Pelodiscus sinensis: one gene and its partners. The protein of the gene in region 1 purifies or fractionates together with the protein of each later gene. This does not show direct contact. Links are inferred from orthologs where the notes say so. Each region holds a gene or a part of one and is shown in the gene's direction. Other genes may lie near its edges.

Region 1 (8,252 bases):
TCAATCCTTTGTCTTTTGGATGAGAATGTCAACAAGGATGCAGCATCAAATATACAGAGACAAGGATGCAGTCTACAGACATGACGCCAAAAAGTTGTCAGCCGGGGATGACTTTTTGGGTCCAGAATCAAATATGTAAACCTAGAAGCAGATAAAATCCCTGTATTCCAACACAGATTATCTGAGACAGTTCTTTAATCCCTAATCTGTGGTGATTGTTTGGGTGTTCAGATTCGAATGTTCCCAAAAGAAGCTTCCCTGAAAAAAACCTTTGTTGAGCTTTGTGGAGCTTCCTAGTGGAAATGGTCCCACAAAAAGAAATGAAGAATTAATATCTTATCTGTAATTAACTGAGTGGCCCATGGTTGCCTCTCATTGGAAAAAGAAAAATAGCCTAACCATGGATAAATAGTTTAAGAAATATTAGAAATTGTTGGAAAATATTGGAAAAATACAGCAATTGTGGACGCAAAATAGACAAAGGACGGCTATATTCTTAGATATCTGGCTACCTTTTATTCAGTACTCAAAGCACATTCATCTGCAAAACAAAACAACAACCAAAAAACTGGACACGTGTGCAAAATGTTTTGAATATTAATATTAGATAGTCATACCTGATACTTTAAATGCATATATACAGAGATTTCACTCAGTTTAACAAAGTCACTAAAAATGACATTGGTGTTATAATGGTGCTTTTTTGGTAATATGGTTGGTAACACCTTATTAAATAAAAAGACTGGATGACTATATACCTGTGTAGTGTCTCTTGAAGCAAAAGCTAACTGCCGTGATGATTATTTTGTTTCTGATATTTACACAACAAGGATTTGTAAACTTGTTAAAACTTCCTAAATAAATAATTAAAAAATAAAAATAAACTGCTGCTCTGGTCTTTCTGATGGTATTAATGCATAACATTTCTATAATGTTTTTATGGCTAGGTCCTCAGCTGATGTAAACCAGGAGAGCTTTACCTAAGTCAGTGCGAGTATACCATCTTACACCATCTCAGACGTCGACCTTTAATCTTCAGCACACCACATTACTGCCCAATTAATCTTCACCAGGAGACCAGTGTGTATTGTTACACGCAAGTGATTATCATCATTTTTGTTTCACAGAGAGGGAAATGGTTCTGCTTAAATGCCATGGTGGGGTGGGGAGGAGAACAGAAGTATTAGAGCTAGGGGTTAAAATGATGTACAGTCCATGCTCAGAAGTAAAGTGGCTTCTATCCATTTCCCCAAACCTTGACACATCTTGTAATTTTTCCATCTCACGGTATTACAACCTTCCCAAAGATTTTTTTTAATGTGCAAAATTATATATTAAAAATTATACATGTATTTAAAAAATATATAGCTATACAGTATGATACTATCATATATAATTTTGCACATTAAAAAAAATCTTTGGAAAGGTTGTAATACTTAACTAAGTTCACATTTGTAGGGTTAACATTAACATGATATTTTTGCCAGACTTAAAATCCACCCCTCTGCCAAAGGCTACCCAAGGCCTATGCCCCTGTTAAAGCCTATTGCAAGCAAGTGACTGCTCTGGTTACTACCATCTGTATATTATCCTGAGTAGCCCTACAGTTGGAATTACTTACCATAGTAAATCCTATGCCACTATGATAATAAGTAGTAAGCCAGAGTTCAGTTTCAGAAATTGTTCAGGCCCAATTGAAATTTTACTCCCTTATGCTGGGTGCTGCACAAGTGTGTAGCAGAGGAGGCAGACTCTGCCTTGAAGAGCTTACAGCCTAAATAAACCAGACTGCCACACGGAAAGATAAAGTGACTTGCCCTAAATCCTTTAGCAAATGCATGGCAGAGCTGCACATTTAATCCCTTTTCCCTGAGATCCCAACCAGTGTCTTACCTGCGAGACCATGAAGTAGTAAATGCTACATGTTTTCTAGTTCATGTTTGCAAAAATGAGCTGTGGTGAAAGCCTGGCCCTATGGAAGCCACATCCAAAACTCCCATTAATTGCACTGGAGTCAGCATTTTGCCCTCTGGTTCTTTAGGATTGAATGTGGCATTCTCCTATTGTTGTAGATCGCTACACAACTTTAACATGTTATTAAAGAGAGAGAAAAAAAGTGTTGATTTAGAAAACCAGCAGGGAAGAGGCCAAGGCTGTGACAGTAGCCTTGAAAGATTTTTCCAGTGCAAACAGAGGCAGTTCCCTTGGGGGAAGTGGAGACTGGATATGTCCGTATCGACTCTTTGATCCTCTTGCAAGACAAAATGTGATAGGCGAACCATTCTGATAAACACTACAACTTCTCTATTAGTACCATGCTATGTTTCTTCGGTGGTCTCCCTCTGACAGTTGCTGAGCTACAAAGAAACACCAAACAGAGATAGGAGACAGAGGTTAAAAAGAAAACAAAACAAAACACACAACCCACCAAACCATTCCCTGGGGAATATAAACCAGGAGCCACAAACAAGTTTAAGAAGAGTTTTTATCATTGTCATGAATTTGTGTCTTGTTCTTGGTGTGTATTTTTAACGGTATGATAATACCATATTAACCACCTTGCAAACATTAAATTAGCAGCTTGAAAAACAGATTATCAGATGCCCTTTAATTTTTCCCCCTTCCAAGCAGCTAACCAGAAGACGAAATAAGCCAAAGATCATGAAATCAACTGGAAAAAAAACTCTCCAAAACTCTTTGTCTATTGCATTTTAAAGCCAAAGAGTAAAACCTGAGTCCACCCCTTTTGCCTCCAAATTCCTCCAGAACCCTTGGCTTTTAGCACCGCCAAGGAACTGTTTCAACATGAATGAATGGGATCAGCGCCCATGCTCCTGAAAGGCTGTAGGGGGTGTTGAATTAAATATAAAAGGCACAGAGGGAAACATTTGGTTGGCAAGCAGTGTTTCCCTGCAGGCAATGGGCATATCCTATGTGGGTATTTATGACTATTCTGCAGGGGGAATGGAGCTGAGAATTAAGCAGCTAACTGAACGTTCCTAGTGATGAGCATACAAATACAAACCCTTTCCTACCAGGTTTAACACAATTAATAGACATACAGAACTGATGGCTATATTACGATTATGAAAATTATGTCTGCAGTTATAATGCTGGTAGGTAGTTTTCCCTGTGTAAAAATTGCATGATAATGGTCACCTGTCTCGGATTACTATCTTTTTTTTCCCAGATAGATTCCCCGGAAATGTGCAAGGGAGGCTGTCTACCTTGGACCAACATTGCCATGGGGGTCTTTACAGTTCAGAAGTTTTGTCTACAATGTGCTTTATTCAGAAAGTAGTGACTCAGTACTCTGGCCCTTTCTATGATCGTAGCACTTCTTTCTGGTCTTAAAATATATGAAAATTTCTCTCCTGGAACTGACAGTCATAAAGAGAGATAATAGAGGAGAAAAATTAATAATCATCACACTTTCCCTATAAAAATTGAAGATAAATTCTTTCCCACCCAATCCCAAATTGTAATTTTATTTGCTTCTTCTAGGCAGCAGAGTATTTGAAAATTGCAAAAGTTTAGAGACAGGCTGTGACGTTTCATATGCTTAATTGTTCCCAGGACTGTACCTTTGCCTTGTGGTGGGATTAGCATTTGTGCCCTCTTCTTTTATTTTAATATACAGAAAACAAAACAATTAGGGGTATAATATGCCTGAGAAGGAAAACAAAAGGGAGAAAGTTTAACAAATACAAATAGGGAACTACAGGATCTGTTAGGAGTGCCTCAATTAGGCCTTGGTCCTACAACTGAATCTGCTAGTATAGATCCATGCAGGATTGGGGTTTTTATTTTACTTGTTGCATTTTTTAATGTATGAGGATAGTCATAGAAAACCAGATGCATTTGAAAAGACGATGGAATCCGAAAAGATTGCATCCCTTCTTCCTTTAGGAGGTCTTATTTTGGAAGTGTGGGGAAAGGGCATTTGAAATACTGATATTTTCAAAGAAAAAAAATAAAACTATAGAGACTGTATCCCTTATACATTTACTTTAGGAGCTCCCTGATTTTAAGGAACACAACCAAATAGCTTACGAAAATGCAAAAAAAAAAAAAAAAAAAAGTTTGGAATTTCCCAGTTCTAGGTAGAATTTTGTACTTAGTTAAGTCTATTGCAAAACTCCTTGTCATCTCATGGGAACAGACTCTTTAATATTAATGGTCCAGTCCTGCAAACAGATTACATATATCTGTAACATTTTCAGGATCAGGCTCTGTGGAGGTGCATCCAAGTTGTAGTTAGGGCCCAAGCCCACACGTGCTTACTAAACACATTGCTATGGGGATTATGCACTGGAATAAACACTGGACAGGATCACTGAACCCCTATTTTGCCATTGATAAGGACTGTAAGCCTATGGAGTTGCAGGCGCAATGCCAGTCACAGGATCAGGACCATAGAGTTCTGTGTACCTTATACTTTTAGGAGCACCCCAATTCCATTTGCGTTTTGGAGGTGTCTGTAAAAAACCTAGATGGGTTTGGAGTGCTTGCTGTAAGTTTAAGAAAAATCTCCCCCCTCCAAAAGCAGAGCCTTAAAAGAAAAATAAAAAAGGTACAATTACATTCTGCCCCCTGATTTTATCTGGGTGACATAAAATTCAGGGGGGAAAGCTAACTATAAAGAAAGGGCGGTTTTTCTTAATAGAAAAGCGAGGGGGGGAAATCTCATTTTTGTGTGTGTATGTCTGTGTGAGAGTGTAAAACCTTCTTGAAAAACACCAAGGAAAAGACAGAGTTAAATCTGTCCCCTCGATGCACTTCACTGAATTTGGACCGAGTTTAAATTATTTTTTTTCTTGGTTCTTCCTTTCTTGCCCTAAGCCTAAAGAAAAAAAAACCCTACTCCCTTCTGAAGTATTTAAAAGTAGGAAAGGAAGGGGAAAAAAGAAGGCCCCCCTTCTCTTATCTTTCGCATGAACTAGTAAAGCAACCAAAAAAAAAATATATATATATATATGGTGTTACTAGTATGGAACTAGTTAACCTTTAACAATTTATGCTGATGTCACACTGAGCATGAGTACTGATTAATCCCAGCCTTTTCTGTCCCCCCCCCTCGTAAAAATATTTTTATTGAGGGAGGAGGGGAGAAGTATAAGAAAAAAGAAATAATTTAGAGCAGCCATCTTTGTTTTATGCAGAAATCTTTCTCTTTCAGTTCCCCCCCCCCAGTGCCAGGAATATACAAATATTGTTCATCTATGCAATGAGCTGAGAGACTCAAACAAGCAACAATAAGGAGAAAAATTAAGATAAGGGGGAGGGAATCTTTTTTGTTGTGACTGTTTTGGATTGATTTTTGAGGGGGGTTTTGGGGGATTTTTTTCTGTGAACCTCAAGGAAGAGGTGTGTATGCCGTGGGGAGGGGGGGTGACTTAAAATCAAGCCAGCCATTTTGTTTTTTTTTTAATAAAGAAAAGGGTGGGGGATTTTTCCCCCCTTTTTCCCTCCTGGGGGGGGTCTGTTTTAAAAATAATTTAAGGGCGGCCATTTTTGTTCCTTGCTCTTGTGGCAAATATTATGCTGGGCTGCCCCCTCAGAATTTAAATATATTTTAAACCTCTTTCTCTTTCCTACCCCCCATTTTTATATTTTAAAGGGGGGGAGGGGAAAAAGTTAAAAAGGAGTTTTTCCCTCTTTTTGAATCCATGGGACTTTTTCAGGCTGTTCTTTTTTGACTGAGGTGATCTGAAAGGGGGGGGAAGAGGAATTTTGTGTGTGGTGAAGGGGGGTTGTTCCCCCCTTCTCTCTCTCTCTCTGTTTCCCTGCCCCCCCCCAGCACCACCATGGCTTCCCCTCTGAGGGAGGACGAGGAAGAGGAGGAGGAGATGGTGGTGTCTGAGGTGGAGGGGGATGAAGAAGAAGAGGAGGAAGAGGAGGAGGAAGAAGGAGCAGGGGACAACAGCCCAGGCGACATATTCCCGCCTGCTGCTGCTCCACTGGCACCAGCACCAGCAGCATCCACCCCACTAGCAGCTGAGGCGCCTCCAGGTAAACAACCCTCCCCCCTTCACCCCAGAGCCGGGCGCCAAAACACCCCCCACTCTCCCTTCAACGGCTTTCGAATGTTGGCGGGGGGGAATTGTTTGTAAACAAGCAACGGTTGCGGAACGTTGAGGGGCCGAGAGTTCCGACTTCCCTCCCCCCACAGTCCCAGCCGCCGCGCGCGCTGCCCAACGGCTGCGGAACGTTGAGGGGCCGAGAGTTCGCACCCTGCCCCTCGCCCGCTGCCCAACAGCAGTGGAACGTTGAGGGGCCGAGAGTTCACCCCCGCCCTCCGTCCTCCCCCCCGCAAGCGCGCGCGCTGCCCAGAGGGGAGAGTTTCCAGCCCCCCCTGTTTCCCCTCTTTGGATCATTGACGGGCCGAGAGTTCCGACACCCCCTTTCCCCCCCCGCTCGCGCTGCCCAACGGCTTTGATAACGCTGAGGGGCCGAGAGTTCATCCTCCCCTCCCCCTTGCGCGTTGCCCAAAGGCTTTGGAACGTTAAGGTGGGGTACGAGAGTTTCTAATCCCCCTCCCCGCGCGCGCTGCCCAGTGGCTTTGGAACATTGACGGGGGGGGATTCTAGTTTCCACCCGCCGCCGCCGCCCGCGTTTCGAACGTTCAGGATGGGGGAAGGGTGCAGGCAATTGGTCTTGAAGTGTCCTCCCCAGAAGTGGGGCCCGATGCCCCTCCCTCACTTCCAATGAAGAAGGGGACCTACCCTTCCCCCCCCCGAAAGTGGGGAGGCAGCACAGAGCCCCCCCCTTAAAGTGCCCCTCTGCCTGTGAGTTGGTTCATGCCCCTCCTGGGGTAAAGGGGAGCAGAGGAGGGTTCCCCAGCCCCAGAGATGAGGGCAGCTCTATCAGTGGAGGTGGATGGGCCACCACATGGCACTCTCCCCATCCCCAGCCCCCACAGGGGTAAGCAGGGCTGATCTGGACAGGGTTTCTGGGATGGTGGGTGCTTGGTGCAAGGGTGTGTGATCTTGGCAACTGGTGGGCAGAATGGGGCATGCTGGGCGTTGGCAGGAGTGTTTGGTGCCCTGGTGGACAGGCTGTGATGTATTGGAGGTTAGCAGGAGTGTGGGGTGGTTGCCTGATAGGCAATATTGGGCCTTCAGGACATTGGCAGGAGAGGGGGTACTTGGTGCCCACTGGGCAGGACAGGGCCTGCTAGTGGGAGTGGGGGATGCTGGGTTCTGGTAGGAGTGGGGGGGGGGGTTGGCCATCTGGTATCTGGTGGGCAGGATGGGGCCCTGTGCTTAGTTGGCAGATATGGAGGACACCTGGCAGGCAGGACAGGCCACATGGGTCATTGGTGGGGAGGGAACCTCGAGGAACCAGCCACCTGGGAGAGGGCTTGATGCCCTGTGTGATCAGTTGGGGAGGGGGCTTGGGAACCTGTAGGGTTTGGCCTGCTGGTATTGAGGTGATAGGTGGCTTTTGGCCCTCTGATTAGTGGTACTTTCTTGGGGATGGGACCCCGGGGGAGTAGATAGCAAATAGGGCTCCACACCCTACTTGACTTGTGCCTTACAGGATGGGCCCCCTTAGCAGTGGTGCAGTGAAGAGGGATGGGCTCTCTGCAGGGGGAGGGCATGTCAGTAGTGCAGATGACTCTGCTGTCCACAGGACGTGGCCATGTTGGTTACCTAGACCTGGGCATGGCTGTGTCTTGTGGGGTGGGGGTCAGTAACTAGCTTATGTGGAGAAGAGTTGGCACCCCTCTGAATAGAGTTGCATCACCTGAGATGGGATGGGGCCCGTTACTCTCAGCAGAAATGGTTGGGTCAGGACTACATTGTCATAGCGGGAGCAGAGGGTGATATGAGGATAGGGGTAGTCAGTTGTGGTGGGAGTGGAATGGGTCAGGGCCATGTTGGCTGTGGCAAGAGCGGAGGGTGATTTGAGGACAGGATTAATTGAAAGCAAGGAGTGGCTGGGTCAGGGCCAGGTTGTGGCGGGAGCGGAGGGTGACTTGAGACCACGGTTAATCGGAAGCAGGGGAATGGGTGAGTCAGGGCTAGGGTTCCCTGTAAGCTATGCGCTTGGACAGCCACCCAGAGAGATTCAAATACTGCCCAGCTGATTAGCAGAGTGCCCACAGCCAGCAGCATGTGTTTCCACTGGTGATGTACTTTAACAAAATGTATTCTGCACATGGATGGAAATAATTAGAGGGAAAATTGGAGAGGGCCAGGTTGAATGTGGTGAGAGGCAGAGAGTGACTTCAGGACATGGTGGGAGTG
Region 2 (7,164 bases), on another chromosome or scaffold:
GATCACTACCCATTGGGCCCAACAATCTAGCCAGCTTTCTCTCCACCTGACAGTCCATTTATCCAATCCATATTTCCTTAACTTGCTGGCAAGACTATTGTGGGAGACGTATCAAAAGCTTTGCTAAAGTCAAGGTGTATCACCTCCACTGCCTTCCAAATGTCCACAGAGCCAGTTATCTTGTCATAGAAGGGCAATCAGATTGGTCTGGCATGACTTGCCCTTTGTGATTCCATGTTGACTATTCCTGGTCACTTTCCTCTCTTCCAAGTGCTTCAAAATGGATTCTTTGAGGTTCCCCGCCATGATTTTTCCAGAGACTGAGGTGGGGCTGACCAGTCTGTAGTTCCCTAGATTGTCTTTTTTCCCTTTTTTTTTTAAAGATGGGCCCTACATTTGCCTTTTTCTAGTAATCTGGGACCTCCTCTAATGTCCACCAGTTTTCAAAGATAATGGCCAATGTCTCTGCAATAGCATCTGCCAACTCCCTCAGCACCCTTGGATGCATTAAATCAGGTCCCATGGATTTCTGTATGTCTGACTTTTCTAAATAGTCCTTAACCAGTTCTTTCTCCACTGAGGGCTGCCCACCTCCTTCCCATACTGTGTTGCCTAATGCAGCACTCTGGGAGCTGACCTTGTCTGTGAAGACAGAGGCAAAAAAAGCATTGAGTACTTTAGCTTTTCCCACATCATCTGTCAAATAGTGGAGACTAGCCCAACTTATTGCCTTTCTCCTTGATTAAAAAAAAATTAAGAACATACACATTTTGTAAGTTATCTCTGCCTCCAGAGTGTGTGGGGGGGGGGAGAGGACATCAAACCATGTAACACATCGGTTCTGTAGGATATGTCCCCTTCTAGTGGCTGACCTATGTAAAGATCAAGAGTCCACTGTTGCTACCAGTGAGCAGACAGCTCAGAGGGCAGAGATGTGATATTGGTACAGAAGATGCCCAACTTCTATCTCTACTGGGTGTCCTGTGAAAAGAGGTTACTGCATTTGATAGCTGCTGAATGTAGGACAATGGAAATGATGTTTTCTGTCTGTAGGATGTGGGTCCATGCCATGACCCTGCCTGGCCGAAAGGCAATATCTCTGAGAGAATTCATCTCTGGCCTCATTGCTAAAATTGCCAACAAAGCAGATTATAGTGCCAGCTGGGATGGTTATTTTTTGTTACAGCCACAAATGTGTGAAAAGAGACCACTAATTGTACATTGACTGCACACCATTAGGGAGATGGGAAACACTTTTGGTCATGTTGTACCCATGCCAATTTCTCTGGGGCCTACCCAGAGTGAAAACTGGGAACAAAAGATAACCAGCCAAGCCAATTAAACTGGACAGGTCTTACAGGTGCCAAAAGATAAGGGTGTGATTTTCTGTGGTCTAGCACATTGTGTCGTCACAGCTAAGCAGGAGAATTGAAGAGTGGATGTAAAATCCTACTTTTCTGGCAGAGTGGCAACAGACACCCACTCTGCAGAGATGTCCATGATGGAGAATCTGGCCCTAAATTATTGAAAACTTTCTATTGGTGGAGAAAGGAAAAAAAAAGGGGGGGGGGGGAGAGTGCTCAAAAATATAGATGGGTCCCTCTACACCTTGTATTATTGTAATTTAAAGAGAGATGATTTTATAGGGTCTTCACTATTTTAAAGACATTTCTTATAGGAACATTGTATGTTTTTAAGCTGTCAATGTGAGTCCCAAGTAAATTCTCTGAGGCCCTGCATCACATGCATTTGTTTACACTAGAATACTAGTAACTCAGAAAGATTCCATTCTATATTTACTTGATAGATGTATAAATGACTGCAGAAGGTCAGGGTAATGGAGAATCGGGACCATAAAAATTAGGTCAAGAATGATGTGTTCTGCAAAGGTTTACAAGCATTTGAGGGATCAGTGTAAACAGTGATGTGCAAACCCTGCAACAAAGGTTCAGGAATCATCAGGCATCAATTTGGAAAGTGCTGGATGAGAGGGGGGGGTTAGCCGCATGACTCCTGTTGAGTTTGAAAATTGCACAGCCACCCTTTAGATGCCATTTTGAAAATATGGGATAAAAAGCATCTAACTTTATGCCTTAAGCTTTCAGGCCTGGTGTTAATGAAGTACAGCGCGCATTACGGCTATGTCTAGACTGGCCAGTTTTTCCGGAAAATCAGCAGCTTTTCCGGAAAAACTTGCCAGCTGTCTAAACTGGCAGCTTGAATTTCCACAAAAGCACTGATTTCCTACTGTAAGAAATCAGTGCTTCTTGCGGAAATACTATTCTGCTCCCGATCAGGCCAAAGTCCCTTTTGCACAAAGCTTTTGCGTAAAAGGGCCAGTATAGACAGCTCAGATTTGTTTTCCGCAAAAAGGCCCCAATCGCGAAAATGGTGATCAGAGCTTTTTTGCGGAAAAGCACGTCTAGATTGGAACGGACACTTTTCCGCAAAAAGTGCTTTTGTGGAAAAGCGTCTGTGCCAATCTAGATGCTCTGTTCTGAAAATGCTTTTAATGGAAAACTTTTCAGTTAAAAGCATTTCCGGAAAACTCATGCCAATCTAGATGCAGCCTAGATGTTTAAGCAATAACCTTCGCGACTCTGGACTTCACTGCTGTAAGTAACTTGTTACATATTTGGAGTTGAAAATGAAACTGCAGGACACCAAGTTAATTTATTTCACAGGCTTCAGCCATGATTGTTCCTATAAGGGCTCTGAAGTGTTTCATGGGTAGAACAGGGAAGTGGTGTGTAGATACTTGAGTTGTAGTGGCTGTTGTATCACCTTATACAAATTATTTAACCTCAGGCAACTCAGTTTCTGCACCTGTAAAATTGGAATCAAGCCTACCTTCTTTTGTAAAGCCATGAATGAAATGAAAACTGCTCTAGCCCTAATTCTGTACCATGTAAGTCAATGGAAGGCGGTCATTAAATGGAGCCAGGATTGGGCTCCATTTGGTTGCAAAATAATAGTAGAAATTGTAACTGTCACAGCTTTCTCAGAGTAACACTCTTACAATGGAAATGCCATGTAATGTGAAAATTCCAGCATGGTGTTTAATTATAGAACCCACTAGAAGGGGTAGGAAGACTGATTCTGATCAGTTACACTCATGTAAATCTAGAATAACTTTAACTGAATATGCCATAGGCCTATTGTGGGTTAATTGGAGGATAACTCTGTTGCAATTAAATTGATCCATTGTTGGAATGAGTATTGGGGTCAGAGATCTCTAAGACTTTTTAAATATTATTTTTAAAACTTAGCATTCTAAATCTGTGAGGAAAATTATTTTTCATTACCATGTCTTTGCAATCAGAAAACCAGTTCATTATAAATTATTTTTATTTTCACTACAACTCTCATTGCTATATTGCAGTCTATATTGACCTTCAACCTCTGGTCTGGTGGTCAGACAAAAATGTATATAATATATAAAATAATTTTGAAAAAAACACCTTTTTCCCTTTGAGAATGTATATAGAAAATTGAGAGAAAAATGCTTAAACATTTATTAGCAGAAATTTTTCATCATTAAAATTAATTGGAAAAATTATATATATTTTAAAAAATACAGATTATTGTCTCATCTCCCACAAAAACCATCAAAGCCACTCTAACACCACAAACTCAACCTTTTTTCTCCTTTTAATATTGCTCAGGAAACATTTCCTCAAACCCCAGCTCACCCTTTTTAACAAGTTACATGTTAAGCCTTCACCCCAAAAGTTCTGCCAAAAGTTTCTGAAGTTAATTTAAAAAACAATGTTTTTTTAAAAGAGCTCTATTGTTTGCTTTGTAAAATAAAATAAAATAAAAAAATTACCCCCCTCCAAAAAAAAAAAAAAATCTAAAGTGCTTTGGGTGTAGCTGTGAGGCATGTGAATTCCTTTTCTCCCCTAAAGTTTTTGGATTCATGTCTCCTAATGATGTATGGATGATATATTGCATTGTGGGTGTCAATATAAGTGACGGCCATATTTGCCGGTGCTGCTACCGCTGTAAACAACCCAAAGTGTCTGAGAGACACAGAGACGCTCCACTGAATGTCAGGACATTTTTATTTCTTGAATTTACAATGTCTCTAGGAATGTCTTACAAGCCCAACTTGAACGCCCACCTCCCTGGGACTTCCATCAACCAGGGTAAGTCTCCGATTGCAACTGGAGGGCAAGTTTTCCAGCCCTTTTTGGAGGCACAAAAAGAGCGCTGTGGTGCAGCAGGAATACCTGGGGAAAGCCCCAGACTGTAGTTTTTGTCCAGTTCTATACGTAGGGTCAGATCCTCGGAGCTGATTCATATCCGCCATTATTACTAATCACAAACAGCGCTGCGCTTCCCAAGGAGCAAACTTCGGCTCCCCGCGTGGCTCCCGCTCCGAGCCCCGCGGCGCCCCGGGGCGCTGCGCCCAGGCTGGCGTCCAGGTGCCGGCCGCCTCCGCGCGACGCCTCTCAGTTGGTAGCTCTTTTGATCCGGCCGTTCGCTTTCCTCCATGATCGCCTCCCTCGGGCTGCTGATTGATCTGGATCAGGAATATTCTGTTCGCGGCTCAGCCGCGACCGCTGCTGGCCAGACGCTGCAAGTGCCTGGCCGCGCATGGTGTGTGGCGAGGCAGCCTTTGCTCTCTGCTCTTCGGGGCTGGGGGCTTTGCTGTCCCCTGTCTGTGCTTTCTCCAGGGCTGCACCCTAAGGGGACTTTGAAAAAAGCCCCTCACCCCTGATCTGCAAAAGCCCCTTTTTCCAGCAGGGTTGGGTAACCTGGGATTGTCACTCAAAGTGCCTTGGAGAGGATTCATTTGTGTTGCATAAATCTCCCTCCAGAATGAGATGTTAGGCGCTTCATTCTTGTTCGAGAAAACCTATTTTTCCCCCAGTCTGTGTTTATTTTTATTCCCCAGCTTCTCCATCCCCTGCAAAGTTACTTTGATGGATTTAACTTTTTATTTGCAAAGGAAATAGTAATTTAAAAAATAATTTTGGTTGTGAACTTTGCTGTAAAAGTGTGTGTGTGTGTGTGTGTATTTGTATGGGTATGCATGTGAAAGTGTGTGTGGGTATAATTAAGAAAATTCAGAACACAGTTGCAGGAATTAATCCAGAGTGGGGTATTTTCAGGAGATCACCCATATATTTATCTCTCTTAGTGGTACTAAAACAAAATATGGAAAAATTGTGTTTAACCAAGCTAGTCTTACCAGGTCACTCACATGCATAGCATCTACAGGTCTGATATCAAAATATCAACAGGAAGAAATGTGACTTTTAAAACAAAAAGGGTAGAGAGAGAAGTTTTGATGTTTGAAGACGGAGTGGAAATATGCTTCAGTGGTTTTGTAGCACTGCCTGAGATTCTGTTCTTGGGGTATTGATGTGCTAAAGAAATTAAAAGTCCCCAAATGGTACAATGAGAGTTGCAATTTTAGCAGATCTCATTCTACTGAAAGGAATTTGTCATCAGTGGCTAGAGAAGAAAGACATGAACTACAACCGTGGTCCTGCAAACACCTATATATGAGAATAGCTTGAAGCTTGTTCTAGCTGACTTTAATGAGAGGTCCAAGGTGTGTAAAATTCAGCATGCATGTCAGTATTTAAAGGATCATGGCTTGAGATCAGCATGTTACATTTAAAAAAAAAAGTCATGGTCCTGACTTAGATTCTTTGTGACATAATAAAGCAGTATTACCATAAAAAAAAACCAAAAAAAAAAAAAAAACCCAAGCATTGGAACTGTTCCTTTTTGTCTCTCACTACAATCTGTCTCATTCTCTAAAATACCTCCATACAAGAGCAGGGACACTAAGCTTTTTGTTTTGATTTTTGGCTTACGTCATGGAGTGAGGGGAAAACACAAGGCTAACTGCACTTCATATGAAAGAAACGGCTAAGACCATGGCAAATAGGTTACTGAGACCATTAGTTTAAGTAACTTGGGAAGTTTTTTCTGTATTTTTGTTGTTCTCGTTCTGTCTATATGATTTCTGATAAACCATGACACGATTCAAGCTTTAAATTCTTTCATTTGATTAGTCCTCAGTGGCTTTTCAGCAGTCCAGTGTTGTGCTCCTGTTATCCCTGTCTAACTTGTGCTTGCTTAATTGTCAGCTTTACTGCCCAGAGATGCTTTGAAATGAAAAATATCGGAATCGTTATCCAAAATGGACTCTCTCTTTCTCTCTGTCTCCTGCCATTATCCCTCCTTCACCAGCCCTTCCTCTAGCTAGTGGCAATGCCAGCATGATGGCCTGAGGCCAAGGGAGTTAGACAAAGCAGTCCTTGCAGGGGCACACATTGCATTGAGAATGATGTGACTGCAAATGGCTTCCTTCCTTTCTTGCTGGACCCTAAACTGAGTTTCAGGAGGATCCTTCTCTATTGTGTTTTAATGAAATACCACCAGCTCAGCTAGAAGTGCAAATCCTGGGTTTGCTTCCAAACCTGGGTCTCCCTTTCCTTTGTATTCTGTGGAGAGGCTGAAAAAGCAGGACATCTGTCCCTTTGGCCCAAAATCACCTCTGCAGAAGCTGCTCTATCGGAACTTGGAGTGATCAGGAGTCAAGTTTTTCAAGGGGAGGTGGCCAACTTGGAGTCCCTAACAGTGCTGATAATCTGTGCTGCAGGGTTTCTGGTGCAAGTGGGACTATAGAGACTGTGGTGACATGCTTCTGAAGTCTGTGTCTTCACTGCAGAGCTCACTTGTGTTATCTACACTCTGGTTAATTCCACTTAGTCTAGCTCCAGCAAGAGTGGCCACACTGCAAAATAACAGGAGCTACCCAAAGTTGTTGTGTGAGCAGCTGATGAGTTGTGCTAACTTGAGCTGCAGATTATACAGACAGGCAGGTCCACCACCCTCTGGCTATGGGATTTTTGTGTGTGGATGGGTCTTGAATTAGGGACAATGATCAGGTTATAAACCAAGTTACTTGTGCAGGCAAGCCCTGAGAGAGAGGAGAGTTGCCATAGGGCAGGGAGGGCTATAGAGGGTTAATGGGAAATCTGTGGGGTTATCCCCTGCAGATCTCAGAATGGCTGTGTAAGAAAAGTCTGCCTACTCCACAAGCTGCCTACTCCCCAGCTATGTCAGGGTGCTCCAGGGGATTGATTCTCCACTGTGGCAGCTTTTGTCATTTATACAAATTCAAAGAGTAATTTTCTACCA
Region 3 (7,755 bases), on another chromosome or scaffold:
TTGCCTTTTTGCGCAACAGCTGTAGTGTAAAAAGGAGTTATTCCTCATAGAAGGAGACTTACCGACACCAGAAAAAGCCCTCTGTTCTGGCATTTTACTATCAATTTACTTGCGCAAAAGCACGCTTGAGGTGAGGATGCTCTGCGGGTTTTTGTGCAAAAACTGCCATTATTGTGCAAAAGCCTTGGGCCTGCATGATTTTCCGCAAATGCTTTTAACGGAAAAGTTTTCCGTTAAAAGCATTTGCGGAAAAGAGCATCTAGATTGGCACGGACACTTTTCCGCAAAAGCACTTTTTGTGGAAAAGCGTCCGTGCCAATCTAGGCGCGGTTTTGCGCAAGAAAGCCCTGATTGCCATTTTCGCGATCGGGGCTTTTTTGCGCAAAACAATTCGCGTTGTCTACACTGGCCCTCTTGCACAAAAGCATTTGTGCAAGAGGGCTTTTGCCTGAACGGGAGCAGCATAGCATTTCCGCAAGAAGCACTGATTTCAGACAGTAGAAAGTCAGTGTTCCTGTGGAAATTCAAGCGGCCAGTGTAGACAGCTGGCAAGTTTTTCCGCAAAAGCAACTGCTTTTGCGGAAAAACTTGCCAGTCTAGATGCATCCTTGTAGTATAGATGTAGCCTAAGAGTTTGTTTGGGTTTTTTTGCTTCTCACATGTGTGCAGCCCCTGACTGATTTTTCTGTGGGACAGTAGCTCCCAACCCACTTGATTTAGGACAAAAGTAAGTGACTACAGGCATGAGGTAGTCCGGGTTCTTATGCTTAATACTGAAGTACATACATTTTATTCATCAAGCTTGCTCTGCATGCTTTGACACCCAGGAATTTCTGAAGTCTATCCCAGTATCCACTAGTGATGGTAATGGCTACCCGGGTAACCAGTTAGTTGCAACCATGCCTGACTCCCCTAACCCTCCCCTGGGCTCTTCATTTAAAACTGAGACCATCAGGTTGGCTCAGTCCCAGCCTGCAGCTCTGAGTTTTAAATAAAGTGCATGTACGACAGCTGCTTGTCACCCCATGCTGCTGCCTCTCATGCAGAGGCAGCAGGGTGGCAGGCAGGAGCCAGTCTGTGGTGAAGTAGCTCCATCCATGTGGGACCCAGCAGCATAGTGCAGCAGCAGCTCCTGTCCGCAGGGGCCCTGAGTTCTCTGCAGAGAGAGGTTGCGCCCATGTCCCACAGAGATGCAGGAGCAGACTTTGTTCATGGGGAGCTTGGCCGTCTCTCTCCCCTGCCCCGCCCACGGACGGGGCTGCTACTGCCTCTGATACAAAGGCAACAAAACAAAGTGTCAGATGGACCGGTTCCCGTGTGCTGCCTCCGTATCAGAGGCAGCAGTACAGGATGGCAGGCGGCTCCTCTGCATGCTCTTCATTTAAAATTCAGATTGGCGGGCTGGGACTGAGCCAGCCTGCCAGTCTGAGTTTTAAACACGGAGCACGGGGAAGGGGAAGTTGTTGTGTTTAACTGGGACCATTATGGAGGCAACAGCTTAGGGTAGCAGGGGGTTTCTCGGGAGTGGGACTGGGAGCACACTGGCTGCTGGCCCTGCCCAGAGGGGAGGCATGAGTAACCATTATGAAATTTAGTGTTTACACAGTTATTAAAATAACCAATTTCTAACATCCCTATTATCCGCTGACTATAAAACTAGGGATGGATTTTCTATGCCCTGGTAACCATTCTTTTTTTGGTTTTCCTTGTCCTTCCCTGGGTCATTGGGACCATATATAGGTTGAACCTCTCTCTCTAATCCGGCACCCTTGGGATCTCACCAGTGCCGAACCAGAGAATTTGCTGAACAACAGAAGGTCAATATTGTGTAGCAGCATTACCTACTCTTCCACTGCTTACTGGGTTCTGAGAAGATATTTAGGGGTAGAGCTAAATAACAGCACAGAACACTGAGAGCCAGGACTGGTGGTTTTAGAAAAACTTTATAGAAGTGCAGGAAACTTGGCCACATCCACGATAAGCAGACATAACTAAAATCATGCCAGACCATGGATGTTGCCAGACTAAAGAGTGCAGGACTACAGAGGGTCAACCTGTAACTTTCAGGTGCTTGAAGGAAAAATGTATATTCTTCAATCAATACCTTCCTTTTGCCCATATAGATGTAAAATCTTCAGCTCATATTTCCTGCCCATGGAAGGAAAGTGCAGAGATTGCCTCCTGTCAGATCTGAGTACAATGAGGAAACAAGGTGGGTGAGGTAATATCTTTTATTGGACCAAGTTTCTGTTGGTGAGAAACAAGCTTTGGAGCTTTTGTGTGTGGGAAACTTATCTAGTGCTGCAGTGCAGATCTGGACTGAGCATAAAAGCCCAAAGGCATTGTTAAAGAGTGAAAATGACTGCATAGAACAGGCTAATCAACCCTGTGAATTAAGTGTGTCCTTGCTTGCAAAACTGCACTTCTTTGCCTTTTCCATTTTATTTAAGCTTTGGTATCATTCACTACTTGAGGAAGTATTAAGAAGCAGGATTCTTTTTGAAATTCCAGATGAGATGTCAGACCCTTCAGAGAAATGTGTGCTGAAGTACAGCTTCTGCTCTCTGAATACAGAGTTCCTAGGGGCATCTAGCAGATTTTCCTTCCAGTGATAGGGAATTCAGACTTTCCTTTCAAAAATGACAATTTTTTTTCAAAGTGGGGGAGAGATGAGTGCATGAAATGGAGAAACCTGAGCCACCTATCATGTAATGTGTTGCAGCAACAGTACCACTGAGTTTTTCCACTGGAACCCCTAAGTCAGGAAATAAAAAGCGTAGTGTTCAACAACATACCAGAAATCTTAACCTAATAGTCACAGGCTCATTTAATAAAAAATGATGTTGGAATACGATTTACTTAAATATGCACTGAAGACAAGGAAACTCATATTTATTATGGCTAATGATTCTTCTCCTCTAGCCCCCCAACAGCTTGATTTCTATGCTACATTTCCCTTTAGATCAGGGAAGAAATGAGATGCCAGCTTGAAAATGCTCAAGCTACACAAGCAGAAATTCTGGGACATGCAATGAATGACCCATCATCCTCTCTGTAAGAAAAAACAACAACAAAAGAGAAGCCTTTTCTTTAAAAGGGAACAGGCCAAACTAGAACCCAGCTGTTAAATGGTTGTTTTTCATGTAATAAATTTCAAATAAACAAGGGAGTATATTTGTTACATAAATATTGATGTTTTGGGAACACTGTTGAATCAGTTTTATTTGTAAACAGTTCTTCAGCATTTATTGATTCCAAGATAAGTTGCTAGAAGTCTTTGTTTTCTAGGCTATATTGTAGACTTTTCTGAGTGCTTTTCACCAATGAGCAATATTGTCAAAAACAGCATAAGAAGTTTCATATGCCACCAAATATTGATTCAAGGAGAGTATCAGAACTGAAGAATGGATAGTGTTTTATTGCTAAACAAACACACAAATGCTCCAACATCAGGGAAAAGCAAATGAAAATCTAACATATTTCAGTGAATAAAAAGGCAAGCGACTTCTTTTTAATGATAGTTACCAAATGGGAGAATCTATTTGATAAGCACAGTGGTCATTACAGTCATTCTCTCTATACTACAGGCAGGGTTGCAGATATTCACAGCTCATTTTTGTGGATACAGATGCCGATACAAATTTTGTATCCAGAATGCTGCAAGTTTGTAGATATCCACTTCATATATACGGGTATCAATGCAGATACCCATGCTCATTTTTTGTGGATGTGGATACAAATTTTATATCCATGCATAGCTCTAGAGTTGCAGCATGGAACAAAGACCACAAACTAAAGAATAAGTGCAAAAACCATACAAAACATAGCACAGAATGGCTCAGATAAAGCAATTAATTAAATCATATTAAGTAGAAACTATGATCCAATGGGACAAAGAATGGGGAAGCTCTACCTAAATCCTATCTTTGCTGCTGACTGACCGTTGCCAAATCACTTATAGAAAGCCTATGATGCAAATGATATAGCAATAATTGGCCTACAAGTTATAAAAAAGGCAGCAACAAACAAGAGGTCTGTGATGGTTGGGGAATCACCATATGAAAGTTGCACTGGACAAGAACTTTAGGATAAACAGCATTATTGACTAGATCAGTTTTGTGATTCAACATTTTGATGGAAATAAAGTAGGAACAATCAACTTACAATGATAATACTTTCCAATGAATCAGAAAGCGAAGGACAATTGAAGTGTAACAATAACTCTCTCAAAGGAAATGCCCGGTTTTACAGGGGCAGGAAACCTACTCTGTGTACACAAACGCACATATTGTACAGACAGGCACAACCTCAGACACACCCAGCTATGCAGGCTCACCTAGACCCATGCAGGAGCACACAAAAGAACGTGCGCTCAGTCACATACACCGAGATAGGTTGGTGCACCCACGCACAGACACACATTCCAGTGCTTGGGCGGACAGGTGCACACTGGCCACTACACGAGCAGACAACAAAGCCCTTCCATGTACAGCCCCTCACCTGTGCTGCTCGGGGTCACACTCACATACTGAATCCCAGCTAGCCAAGGCCGCTCCATGCTTACGCCCACGCCTCGTGCAGGGGCGCATTCACACACACACACACAGGAACCCACCCAGCGCCCTAGCCTCTTGCTCCGCTGTGCCTATGCTAAGCCACTCACACAATGCACTTCCTGCCCCCACGTACCAATGCACCACCCGCCTCCAAGCCCCAGTGCGCTCCTGCCCCCCGAGCAAACCGACCGCGTCCCCGCTGGTCCTGCTGGGGCCAGAACCACGAGGGAAACTTTTAACCCCTCCTCCCCCATTGCGCAGCGGGACACGGCGCTGGTGCAGCGTCCGCCCGGGCAGGGCCATCCGTGCGCTGGCGCCGCTCGCGTCCCCACACGGGCGAGCCAGGAGGGCTCCGGGCCCGGCAGCTCTTTAACCCTTGCCCTGCCGCGCCCCGCCCCAAGCAGCTCCGGGGAGGGCGGCGGCGGCGGCGGCGGCGGCGCCCGGGGCGGGCAGGGGGGCAGAGCGAGCCGCTCCCTCCCGGCCCAGCCCAGGCGGCAGCAGGAGCAGGGCGCGGAGCGCAGACATGGCGGCCAACATGTACCGAGTGGGAGGTATGTGGGGCCCGGGCTCTGCTCCCCGCGCCGCGCCGGGCCGGGCCCGGGGGCTCCAGGCGTGCGCTGTGTGTAGCGCGCTGGGGAGGAGGGAGCCTGGCGCCCAGCTCAGCCCCTGCGCCCAGCCCAAGGAGCCAGCGCCCCACGCCCAAGGGGGCCCCAGCCCGGCTCCCCGCGGGGCGTGGGGAGGTGAAGGAGCCGCCTCTCCGCCAGGAAAGGAGGGGGCCCAGCCCTCTGCCCGCAGGGGGGAGTGGGCTCTGCCTCCCCAGGGGGCAGCCCCCCAGTAGGGGAAGGTGGGGAGCATCCTCTGCCCCCACAGGGGGAACGGGAAAGAGGAGCAGCAGGCCTTTTCGGAGGGGGAGGAAAAGGGCAGCACAAGTGCCCCCAAAGCACTAGGGGAGGGGGCTCAGCAGCTGCCCAGGAGGCGGTCACATGCTGCCTGCGCCCAGCCACCACTAGGGGATGCGACAGGGGCAGGATGTCCCAGGAAAGCTGGGAAGAATGGGTCTCCCACGAGGAGAGGAAATGATGCCACTTCTGCCCCACAATGTGGCAGTAGCAGTCCTCCAGGTGACTAGTCTCTCCTGCCACCAGGAAGGAGGAAAGGGCCTGGCTCAAACCCACATTGCTTTGGCCTGATGGGAGTGGGCAACCTGTATCCGCCCAGCAACTTCTGCAGCACAGCAACGACTCTCGTTTATTATTCCCTAATGTCATTGGCTACCTGCAAGGCAAAATCCTCCCTCTGCACTCTCTCCCTGCCCTTAAGTAATAAGTCAGGTTGGCTAGTTGTGATTGTGATCTTTCCACCAATCAGCATAGTTCTGTGGGCAGGCACCACAGTGTTGGCTTCATTGGGCCAGGGGGAATGGAGGCCAGTTAGGGTGTGTCTGCACAGCGGGGCTTAACTCGAAATAAGCTATGCAAATCAAGCTATGTCAGTTGAGCAGCTTATTTCGAAATAGCTTTTTGGAATTGGGAGCATCTACACGGCACTTATTTCAAAATAGAGCCCTCTTTGACTTCTCTTACTCCTCGTACAACAAGGGTTACAGGCGTTGAAGTAAGACGTCCTTCAGCTTGAGAGTATATGGATCAGGGATGTTAAATTTAGATTAATTAACTAATCAAATAGTTAATAGACTATTTGATTAGTCTATAAGGGCGCCTCCTGCTGGGCTCTTGCTACATTTCAAAGATAGAAGCCTCCCAGGAAGTGCGGGGGTAGTGGGGTCTAATGGGGCTCTTGTACATTTCAAAAGGAAGCCCTGAGTGACCAGTGGGGACTCCTGCCTGGCCAGGGTCTCTGCAGCACCCGAGCCTTTGAAATGTACAAGAGCCCCAGCAGGTTCATTTCAAAAGCAGAATCACCGCAGAACCAGCACAAGCGGAGACTGCTTCAGTCCTCGCACGCACCATTTCCGCTGTGCCTTTACCTCCCCTGCCCCCCATGGAGGCAGTGCTGGAGGGAACTGACTTTTAAGCTGTCTCCCCCCAGTACTGACTCCTACTCCTCTCTCTGATAGCGGCAGCAAGGAGGTGGAAGTGACTAGTTGCATCACTAGTTGACAGTCTGATAATCTTGTTTATTGGATAGTCGACTAGTTGCCACGTCTCTTACGTCCCAAATTTCGACATTATTTCAAAATAACTGCCTCCTGTGTAGATGTGGTCTAAGTTATTTAGAAAATAATGTTGCTATGTAGATGTACCCTTATAAACTAAAGGTGGCTGTGGGTAAAGACAAGCCATAACAATTTCCCTCTCCTTCACAATAAAATGCCCAGTCAGTGGTTACAGTCATGTGATTAGTGCTGCAGGAAAAGCTGAAGTTAGCTTTTCCAACCATACCTTCTCAGTGTTTAATAGCATTCTTCAATCTTCTCCTAATCACACCCCAAACCAGCATCCTACAGTGCATATTGGGGAAAATATAAAGGACAAACTGGACAAGGCCAGTGGGTGTCCTGTTTTTGTGAAATCACTTCCTAATGAAGCCTGAATTACAGATAGTAAAAGTGATGAAGGTGAGATCAATTCCATCCTGTCTGTCCCTCCCAAGGGGTCTATTACAAAAATACAGAGTGGGAAATGACTGCTTAGGAAGGACTATGACAGAAAAGGATCTAGGTGTAACAGTGAATAACAAACTAGATCTGAGACAACAATGTGGTAGGTACAATTACAAAAAAAAAAGCAAACATTATTATAGGACGTTTTAGCAGGAGTGTTATACATCAGAGAAAAGAAGTAATTCTTCCTCTCTACTGAGCACTGATGTAGGGTGACTATATTTTCCCAAAGGGAAATGGGACATCCTACATTGGCACAAGGTACACTCCTGTCCCTTTTTTTTTTTTTTGGCAAAACTATGTATTTTTCCAGTTTGCTCTTGCTAACGGACGAACAGTTGGTAAGAGCAAATAGGATAATTGCCTAGGTTTGTCAAAAATTGGAATAGTCATGACGGTCTAAAAATGGGACTGTATCGGCCAAAATGAAACACATGATCACTTTTTCGATAAGGCCTCCGCAGGAATACTATGTCCAGTTATGGGCACCATATTATGGGAAAGATGTGGATAAATTGCAGAAATACCACAGGAGAGCAATAAAAGTGATGCGAGGTCTAGAAATTATGAGCTATC
Region 4 (8,140 bases), on another chromosome or scaffold:
CTAATCGCACAAGTACGTTTTAGGTCTGAGTGGTCTTGTTCAAAAGTTGTGGAGCTCAGAGGGTCCACATCTGAAAGGTGCTTTGGTTTTCTTCTTTAACTGTCAGCATACTCAAAGTTAAAGTAGGAAACCCAGGCCTGAAAAAAACAGGGAAACGTACTGAACAGCACCAGCAAAACAAATTGCAGATGGAAATTCTGTATGGTCAAAACTAATTAAGAAGGAAGAGGAAGTAGCTTCAGCTGGTTCCAAGCCCAGCAGGACTGACGTGACCCTAACTACAAAGGTACTCTGGTGGCTGCCATAGTGAAGGGAGGTAACCTTGCTGAAGCTACTGGACAGCAGTTTCTCACTGTGATATTTGAAAATTCAAGTGACTTTCAATTGGACAAAACTCCTTGAGGTCAGAAGACAAGACCTAACTCTAGATGAAGCTGGTGTCTTGCTGGGATTCTTTAACTTTTATTAGATGTTTGTTACCTTGTTCACGTTGAGGGAAATGTGAGGCTGTTTCCTTACCGCTGTCGCAGAAATCCAAGCATGGAAGGCTGGGAATGATTGGAACAGATGCACTAGACGGAAACAGAGAGAGAACAGCTTCAGGAATAATTTTGGTTTTCTTTAGCTTACTACAGTTCCATGTTAGAAGAAAATAACTTTTTCCTGAGGGGTCATGATGCTAACTGCTTGGCTACGTCTACACTGGCATGATTTTCTGAAAATGCTTTTAACAGAAAAGTTTTTCGTTAAGCATTTTTGGAAAAGCACGTCTAGATTGGCAGGATGCTTTTCTGCAAAAGCACTTTTTGCGGAAAAGCGTCCGTGGCCAATCTAGACGTGGTTTTCCGCAAAAAAGCCCTGATTGCCATTTTCGCCATCGGGGCTTTTTTGCGGAAAACAGTACTGTGCTGCTTACACTGGCCCTTTTGCGCAAAAGTCTTTTGGAAAAGTCTTTTTCCCAAATGTGAGCAGCATAGTATTTCTGGAAAAGCACTGATGATCTTACATGAGATCGTCACTGCTTTTCCAGAAATTCAAGCGGCCACTGTAGATAGCTGGCATGTTTTTCCACAAAATCATCTGATTTTGCGGAAAAACTTGCCAGTCTAGACACAGCCCTTGGGTTTAGGAAGGAGTTCTACTTGCATGGGTATAATATTACTTAATTGGTCCATTTGGGGCCAATTTCAAGCATCCTGGCCCCAGTTGAGTGGAGGAATAGATATCTGTCATCTAATAATAAGCTAGGGTCAACTGTGAACCCTGTAGGCCACTAACATAGTCAAACACTTCGGCAAAGGTCAAGCATATTCCATAAGGTGACCAGATCTACTTTAAAAGGACAGACTAGTATTTAGACTCTTACAGGTGTCCTGACTTCTTGAAAATGGGCAAATTGTCTTGTGTGTTCTGATTTCCTCCCTCCCTCTCCCCCAGTACTGGCCAGTCCTGCTGCTGAGTTCAGTGGCTGATGATGGAACCGGGTGCAGCATGTGGGGCTGGCCGCTCCTCCTGCTAATCCACCAGTGCTGTTCTTGCTGCATGCCGGCTCTTGGGGAGCAGCCCTGTCCTCCCGACCTCCCATTTGTGGCCAGCAATAGCTGTGCACTATGGGGGCCGGTGCCTGCAGGCAGGCAGCTACGTGTCATCTCTGCTGCCCACTCATCAGCTCTTTACATGCTGCCCCTCACTGTCCTCTCTTGCTGTGCCCCTTTGCCCTCCCCTACCAGCCCCACTGTTCCTCCACCCCCCACAGTCCTGGGTCGGTGCACTCAGCTCACCAACAGCTTGGTGGGCAGGCTCCATCCTTCCCCTTCTGCTCTGGCAGGGCTGGGGCCTGGGAAAGCTCAAGCCCCTCCCACCCAGTGTGTGGGCCAGGAGGAGGGTCAACTAAGCTCTGGAGCAGGAGAGGGGAGCGAGTCCCCGGTATGCACAGTGCTCCTGCAGGCTCTGCAACAGCAGCCCTTCCCCTGCTGCCCTACCCTGGCACCTGGTCCCCTAGGCACCCTCCTCTCGGGCCAGATTGTCTGAAGTAGGGATGTGAGCGTGTAGTCGATGGTCCGATAAGCATAAGCCTATTGCATAGTCGACTAGTGATGAGACTAGTTGCTTCCCCCCGTTCACTGCCTCTGGCAGAGGCAGCAAGGGCTGTGTGTGCAGGAGCCGGTGCTGGAGGAGAGCTGGCTAAAGCTGGTTCCCCCCAGCACCGTCTCCGTGGGGGGGGGGGGGGGTAGAGGCACAGTAGGAAACAGAGAGAGCAGGACTGATGCAGTCTCCACTCCCACCGCTTCTGCTGCGATTCTGCTTTTGAAATTGTCGTTATACTGGGCTCTTGTACAGTTCAAAAACTGAAGCCCTGTGGGGAGCTGGGGCAGGCCAGTGGGGACTCCCCTACTGGCCCCAGGCTCCCTATGGCACCTGAGCCTTTGAAATGTACAAGGAATGTACTAGCCTTTGAAATGTACAACCCACAGGGCTTCTTGTATATTTCAAAGGCTGAGCCAGGGCAGGGAGCATGGGCCAATCCCCTGCTGGCTCCGTGCTTCCTGTGTGGTTTCCGAGCTGGCTCTTGCTACAGTTCAAAGGCCGAGCGCTCTTATAGACTAATCGGCTAGTCGATGGAAATCCTATTGACTATTCAATTAGTTAGTTAATCTAAATTTAACTTCCTTCGGCTGAAGCCCCTGCAGTCAGGTTCACTGGATGCTGGCGCACAGGGCAGCCTTAGGGCTTAACCGTTTCCTGTCCATGCTGTAGTTGGGGGACAGGAGCTGGGTGGGTTTTGTCAGTGGCCAGCAGCAGCCTGGAGGTGTTAGCTGCCTTTCAACACTGGGCGGGAAGAAACAAGATGCTTCCAGCCACAGAGGAACAGGGTAGGTGGCGGGGGGAAGATGGCCAGGTCATCGTTTCCCTCCCGCACAGTGCTGCAAGGCTGCTGCTGGCCACCTTCTGGTGTGAACCCCAGCAGCAATCTGGGGACGGGAGCATGTGACCCTGTGTGCTCCTCCCCACAACTTGCCCTGGGCTTGCTGTGCCAGCTCCCTGGAGCGGTGGGTCCATCTGGAGCCCCAGCCAGACATGGAGGGTTGGATCAGTCAGTCATCTCGAGAGGTGGATGGCGGTGTGTGTGTGTGTGTGTGTGTGTGTGTGTGTGTGTGTGAGTGACCTTGTCACGTATGAACCCTACAGCCTTAACGATAGCAGGTCATTCAAAAGATTCCAAGGGAGCACTATTCCTTTCTTTCAGGAAGGGGCAGTCACCCTGACGTTAATTTGAATGTGAGTCCTGCATAGTTGTGACGGGTTGCCTTTGAACTTGCTTAAATATGAGTAATTTTACCAGGTGTCCCGTATTCAGCGCAGGGAAATATAGTCACTCCTTCCGGCAGTGGTGCGGTCCCAGCCTCCCTCCATACATTGATGCTTCCCTTCTGCCTCCATCTCAGCTGGACAGTGGTGTAATCAGCTTCTGTCAGTCTCTGCTGGGCAGGCAGGAGGCAAAGAATGATGCTGTATAGTACGAGCGCCTAGGCAAAGAGCTGTAGTGCCTCGTATTCCCGCTTGCAACCCTTGCCCCTTTCCAGAGTCTGCTGGGTGCCTGTCCTCAGTGCCGGCTGCCCCAGCACAGCAGGGCCCCACTTGCTGTCCGCCGCAGGGTGTGGAGCAGGTGTGATCTGGCCGAGGGCAGAGGATGGCAGCTGGGGCCCTGGGGATGGATGAATCCATCCCTAAGGCTACCACTGTGCCCCATTCTCCTGCCTCCTTCCCAGCCCATCCCCCTAGCGCCACTTCCCACTGCCCTATTCCCCTTGCCCACCACTTCCCTCTCAGCCTCCCTGCTGCCCCTTCCCCTCAGCTCCCTCTCCCCCCACTAGCCAGCCCGTACTGCCCCTGCCCCACTTCGCTCCTACCCGCCCTCTCGCCACATTGCCTCCCCCCCCGGCTCCAACCTGCCCCCCATTATCCCCCTGGCTCCAACCTGCCCCCCCCATTATCCCCTTCGGCTCCAACCTGCCCCCCATTACCCCCTCCCCCCTCAGCTCCAACCTGCCCCCCATTATCCCCTCCCCCCTCAGCTCCAACCGCCCCCCCATTATCCCCCTCAGCCCTAACCTGCCCCCCCATTATTCCCTTCAGCCCTAACCTGCCCCCCCACATTACCCCTCCCCCCTCGGCTCCAACCTGCCCCCCCATTATCCCCCTGGCTCCAACCTGCCCCCCCATTATCCCCTCCCCCCTCAGCTCCAACCTGCCCCCCCATTATCCCCTCCCCCCTCAGCTCCAACCTGCCCCCCCATTATTCCCCTCAGCCCTAACCTGCCCCCCCACATTACCCCTCCCCCCCGGCTCCAACCGCCCCCCATTATTCCCCTCAGCCCTAACCTGCCCCCCCACATTACCCCTCCCCCCGGCTCCAACCGCCCCCCCATTATTCCCCTCAGCCCTAACCTGCCCCCCCACATTACCCCTCCCCCCCGGCTCCAACCGCCCCCCCGTTATTCCCCTCAGCCCTAACCTGCCCCCCCACATTACCCCTCCCCCCCGGCTCCAACTGCCCCCCCGTTATTCCCCTCAGCCCTAACCTGCCCCCCCACATTACCCCTCCCCCCCGGCTCCAACCGCCCCCCCGTTATTCCCCTCAGCCCTAACCTGCCCCCCCACATTACCCCTCCCCCCCCGGCTCCAACCGCCCCCCCGTTATTCCCCTCAGCCCTAACCTGCCCCCCCACATTACCCCTCCCCCCTCAGCTCCAACCGCCCCCCCGTTATTCCCCTCAGCCCTAACCTGCCCCCCCACATTACCCCTCCCCCCTCAGCTCCAACCGCCCCCCCGTTATTCCCCTCAGCCCTAACCTGCCCCCATTGGCCCCTCCCCCGGCTCCGACCCGCCCCGCCCGGCGCGGCCCCTTTAATTCCCCTCCCCCTCCCGGCCGCTCCAGCCTCCATTTTCCAGCGGATCCGGCACCTGGAGGCGGCGCGGGAGCGGCCCGGCCCGGGCATGGCCGCCAACATGTACCGGGTGGGAGGTAGGGCCGGGGGGGGGCAGGTGTAGAACGCGGGGGGGCCGGGAGCAGCGGGGGGGCAGGTGTAGAACGTGGGGGGGCTGGGGGCAGCGGGGGGGCAGGTGTAGAACGCGGGGGGGTTGGGGGCAGCGGGGGGGCAGGTGTAGAACGCGGGGGGGCTGGGAGCAGCGGGGGGGGCAGGTGTAGAACGCGGGGGGGCTGGGAGCAGCGGGGGGGGGCAGGTGTAGAACGCGGGGGGGCTGGGAGCAGCGTGGGGGGCAGGTGTAGAACGTGGGGGGGCTAGGGGCAGCGGGGGGCAGGTGTAGAACGTGGGGGGGCAGGTGTAGAACGCGGGGGGGCTGGGAGCAGCGGGGGGGCAGGTGTAGAACGCGGGGGGGCTGGGAGCAGCGGGGGGGGGCAGGTGTAGAACACGGGGGGGGCTGGGAGCAGCGTGGGGGGCAGGTGTAGAACACGGGGGGGCTGGGGGGCAGGTGTAGAACGCGGGGGGGCTGGGAGCAGCGTGGGGGGCAGGTGTAGAACGTGGGGAGGCTGGAGGGCAGGTGTAGAACGCGGGGGGGCTGGGAGCAGCGTGGGGGGCAGGTGTAGAACGTGGGGAGGCTGGGGGGCAGGTGTAGAACGCGGGGGGGCTGGGAGCAGCGTGGGGGGCAGGTGTAGAACGCGGGGGGGCTGGGAGCAGCGTGGGGGGCAGGTGTAGAACGCAGGGGGGCTGGGAGCAGCGTGGGGGGCTGGCGGGAGATGGGAGTGGGGTAGAATCTGGGGTGCATGTGGGTTGGGGGTCTTAGGGCTGGGGCAGAGTGCAGAGTTGGGTTGTGGGCAGAATTGGGGCTGGCAGGGGATGGGGGACTCTGGGGCAGTGGGTCGTAGGGATGGAGTAGAATGTGGGGCTTGGAGTTGTGGGGGCTGACATGTTTTGAGGTTGTGGGCTGGATGCTCTGGGGGGGAGCAGCTAATGTGTGTGGGGTTGTGGGTAGGTCTGGATGGGGTGTGCGGGAGAGGGTAGGGCTGGATGGGGTGCGCGGGACGAGGTTAGGGCTGGATGGGGTGTGCGGGATGAGGGGTCGGGAGAGGGTAGGGCTGGATGGGGTGTGTGGGATGAGGGGTCGGGAGAGGGTAGGGCTGGATGGGGTGTGTGGGATGAGGGGTCGGGAGAGGGCAGGGCTGGATGGGGTGTGCGGGATGAGGGGTCGGGAGAGGGTAGGGCTGGATGGGGTGTGCGAGACGAGGGTAGGTCTGGATGGGGTGTGCAGGATGAGGGGTCGGGAGAGGGTAGGGCAGGATGGGGTGCGCGGGACGCGGGTGGGGCTGGATGGAGTGCGCGGGACGAGGTTAGGGCTGCATGGGGTGTGTGGGATGAGGGGTTGGGAGAGTGTAGGATTGGATGGGGTGCGCAGGATGAGGAGTCGGGGGAGGGGAGGGTTGGATGGGGTGCGCGGGATGAGGGGAGGGTTGGATGGGGTGTGCGGGATGAGGAGTCGGGGGAGGGGAGGGTTGGATGGGGTGCGCGGGATGAGGGTAGGGTTGGATGGGGTGTGTGGGATGAGGGGTTGGGGGAGGGGAGGGTTGGATGGGGTGCGCGGGATGAGGGTAGGGCTGGATGGGGTGTGCGGGATGAGGGGTCGGGAGAGGATAGGGCTGGATGGGGTGTGCGGGATGAGGGGTCGGGAGAGGGCAGGGCTGGATGGAGTGTGCGGGATGAGCGGTCGGGAGAGGGCAGGGCTGGATGGAGTGTGCGGGATGAGGGGTCGGGAGAGGGTAGGGCTGGATGGGGTGTGCGGGATGAGGGGTCGGGAGAGGGCAGGGCTGGATGGGGTGTGCGGGATGAGCGGTCGGGAGAGGGCAGGGCTGGATGGGGTGTGCGGGATGAGCGGTCGGGAGAGGGCAGGGCTGGATGGGGTGTGCGGGATGAGGGGTCGGGAGAGGGGCAGGGCTGGATGGGGTGTGCGGGATGAGGGGTCGGGAGAGGGTAGGGCTGGATGGGGTGTGCGGGATGAGGGGTCGGGAGAGGGCAGGGCTGGATGGAGTGTGCGGGATGAGGGGTTGGGAGAGGGCAGGGCTGGATGGAGTGTGTGGGATGAGCGGTCGGGAGAGGGTAGGGCTGGATGGGGTGTGCGGGATGAGGGGTCGGGAGAGGGCAGGGCTGGATGGAGTGTGCGGGATGAGGGGTCGGGAGAGGGCAGGGCTGGATGGAGTGTGCGGGATGAGCGGTCGGGAGAGGGTAGGGCTGGATGGGTGTGCGGGATGAGGGGTCGGGAGAGGGTAGGGCTGGATGGAGTGTGCGGGATGAGCGGTCGGGAGAGGGTAGGGCTGGATGGGTGTGCGGGATGAGGGGTCGGGAGAGGGCAGGGCTGGATGGAGTGTGCGGGATGAGGGGTCGGGAGAGGGTAGGGCTGGATGGGGTGCGCGTTATGAGGGTAGGGCTGGATGGGGTGTGCGGGATGAGGGGTCGGGAGAGGGCAGGGCTGGATGGAGTGTGCGGGATGAGGGGTCGGGAGAGGGTAGGGCTGGATGGGTGTGCGGGATGAGGGGTCGGGAGAGGGCAGGGCTGGATGGAGTGTGTGGGATGAGGGGTCGGGAGAGGGTAGGGCTGGATGGGTATGCGGGATGAGGGGTCGGGAGAGGGCAGGGCTGGATGGAGTGTGCGGGATGAGCGGTCGGGAGAGGGTAGGGCTGGATGGGGTGTGCGGGATGAGGGGTCGGGAGAGGGCAGGGCTGGATGGAGTGTGCGGGATGAGGGGTCGGGAGAGGGTAGGGCTGGATGGGGTGCGCGTTATGAGGGTAGGGCTGGATGGGGTGTGCGGGATGAGGGGTCGGGAGAGGGCAGGGCTGGATGGAGTGTGCGGGATGAGGGGTCGGGAGAGGGTAGGGCTGGATGGGGTGCGCGTTATGAGGGTAGGGCTGGATGGGTGTGCAGGACGAGGGGTTGGGAGAGGGTAGGTTCGGATGGGGTGTGTGGGAGAGGGTAGGTCTGGATGGGGTAGGGCAGGATGGCGGCGCATGGGGAGCAGAGTTGTGTGCTGCACGTTGGGGTTTTGGAGCAGGGTTGGGGTGCTGGTGGTGCAGGGAGTGCAGAGTTGAGGGGTTGTAGGAGTTGTGTGCGTTGCTGTGGAGGCAAGGAC

What was found.
Region 2: the proteins of CHD3 (region 1) and CDK2AP1 purify together in Homo sapiens (affinity purification with mass spectrometry; 6 studies listed by BioGRID and IntAct, with this or other methods). This does not show direct contact. The link is inferred for Pelodiscus sinensis from reciprocal best matches to the Homo sapiens genes CHD3 and CDK2AP1.
Region 3: the proteins of CHD3 (region 1) and MTA3 purify together in Homo sapiens (affinity purification with mass spectrometry; 4 studies listed by BioGRID and IntAct, with this or other methods). This does not show direct contact. The link is inferred for Pelodiscus sinensis from reciprocal best matches to the Homo sapiens genes CHD3 and MTA3.
Region 4: the proteins of CHD3 (region 1) and MTA1 purify together in Homo sapiens (affinity purification with western blotting; 7 studies listed by BioGRID and IntAct, with this or other methods). This does not show direct contact. The link is inferred for Pelodiscus sinensis from reciprocal best matches to the Homo sapiens genes CHD3 and MTA1.

What each region holds. Positions count from the first base shown.
Region 1 is NC_134734.1:10,542,646-10,550,897, forward strand, and holds the start of CHD3 (chromodomain-helicase-DNA-binding protein 3), read left to right. Parts: upstream 1-5,135; 5' UTR 5,136-5,807; coding exon 5,808-6,012; intron 6,013-6,643; exon of another isoform or gene 6,644-6,851; coding exon of another isoform or gene 6,852-6,924; intron 6,925-6,930; exon of another isoform or gene 6,931-8,252.
Region 2 is NC_134725.1:31,509,071-31,516,234, forward strand, and holds the start of CDK2AP1 (cyclin-dependent kinase 2-associated protein 1), read left to right. Parts: upstream 1-3,904; 5' UTR 3,905-3,919; coding exon 3,920-4,148; intron 4,149-7,164. UniProt on the Homo sapiens protein: Inhibitor of cyclin-dependent kinase CDK2. Also acts as a component of the histone deacetylase NuRD complex which participates in the remodeling of chromatin.
Region 3 is NC_134713.1:169,197,044-169,204,798, reverse strand, and holds the start of MTA3 (metastasis-associated protein MTA3), read left to right. Parts: upstream 1-4,743; 5' UTR 4,744-5,079; coding exon 5,080-5,107; intron 5,108-7,755. UniProt on the Homo sapiens protein: Acts as a component of the histone deacetylase NuRD complex which participates in the remodeling of chromatin.
Region 4 is NC_134719.1:64,828,576-64,836,715, forward strand, and holds the start of MTA1 (metastasis-associated protein MTA1), read left to right. Parts: upstream 1-4,895; 5' UTR 4,896-4,999; coding exon 5,000-5,027; exon of another isoform or gene 5,028-5,068; intron 5,069-8,140. UniProt on the Homo sapiens protein: Transcriptional coregulator which can act as both a transcriptional corepressor and coactivator. Acts as a component of the histone deacetylase NuRD complex which participates in the remodeling of chromatin.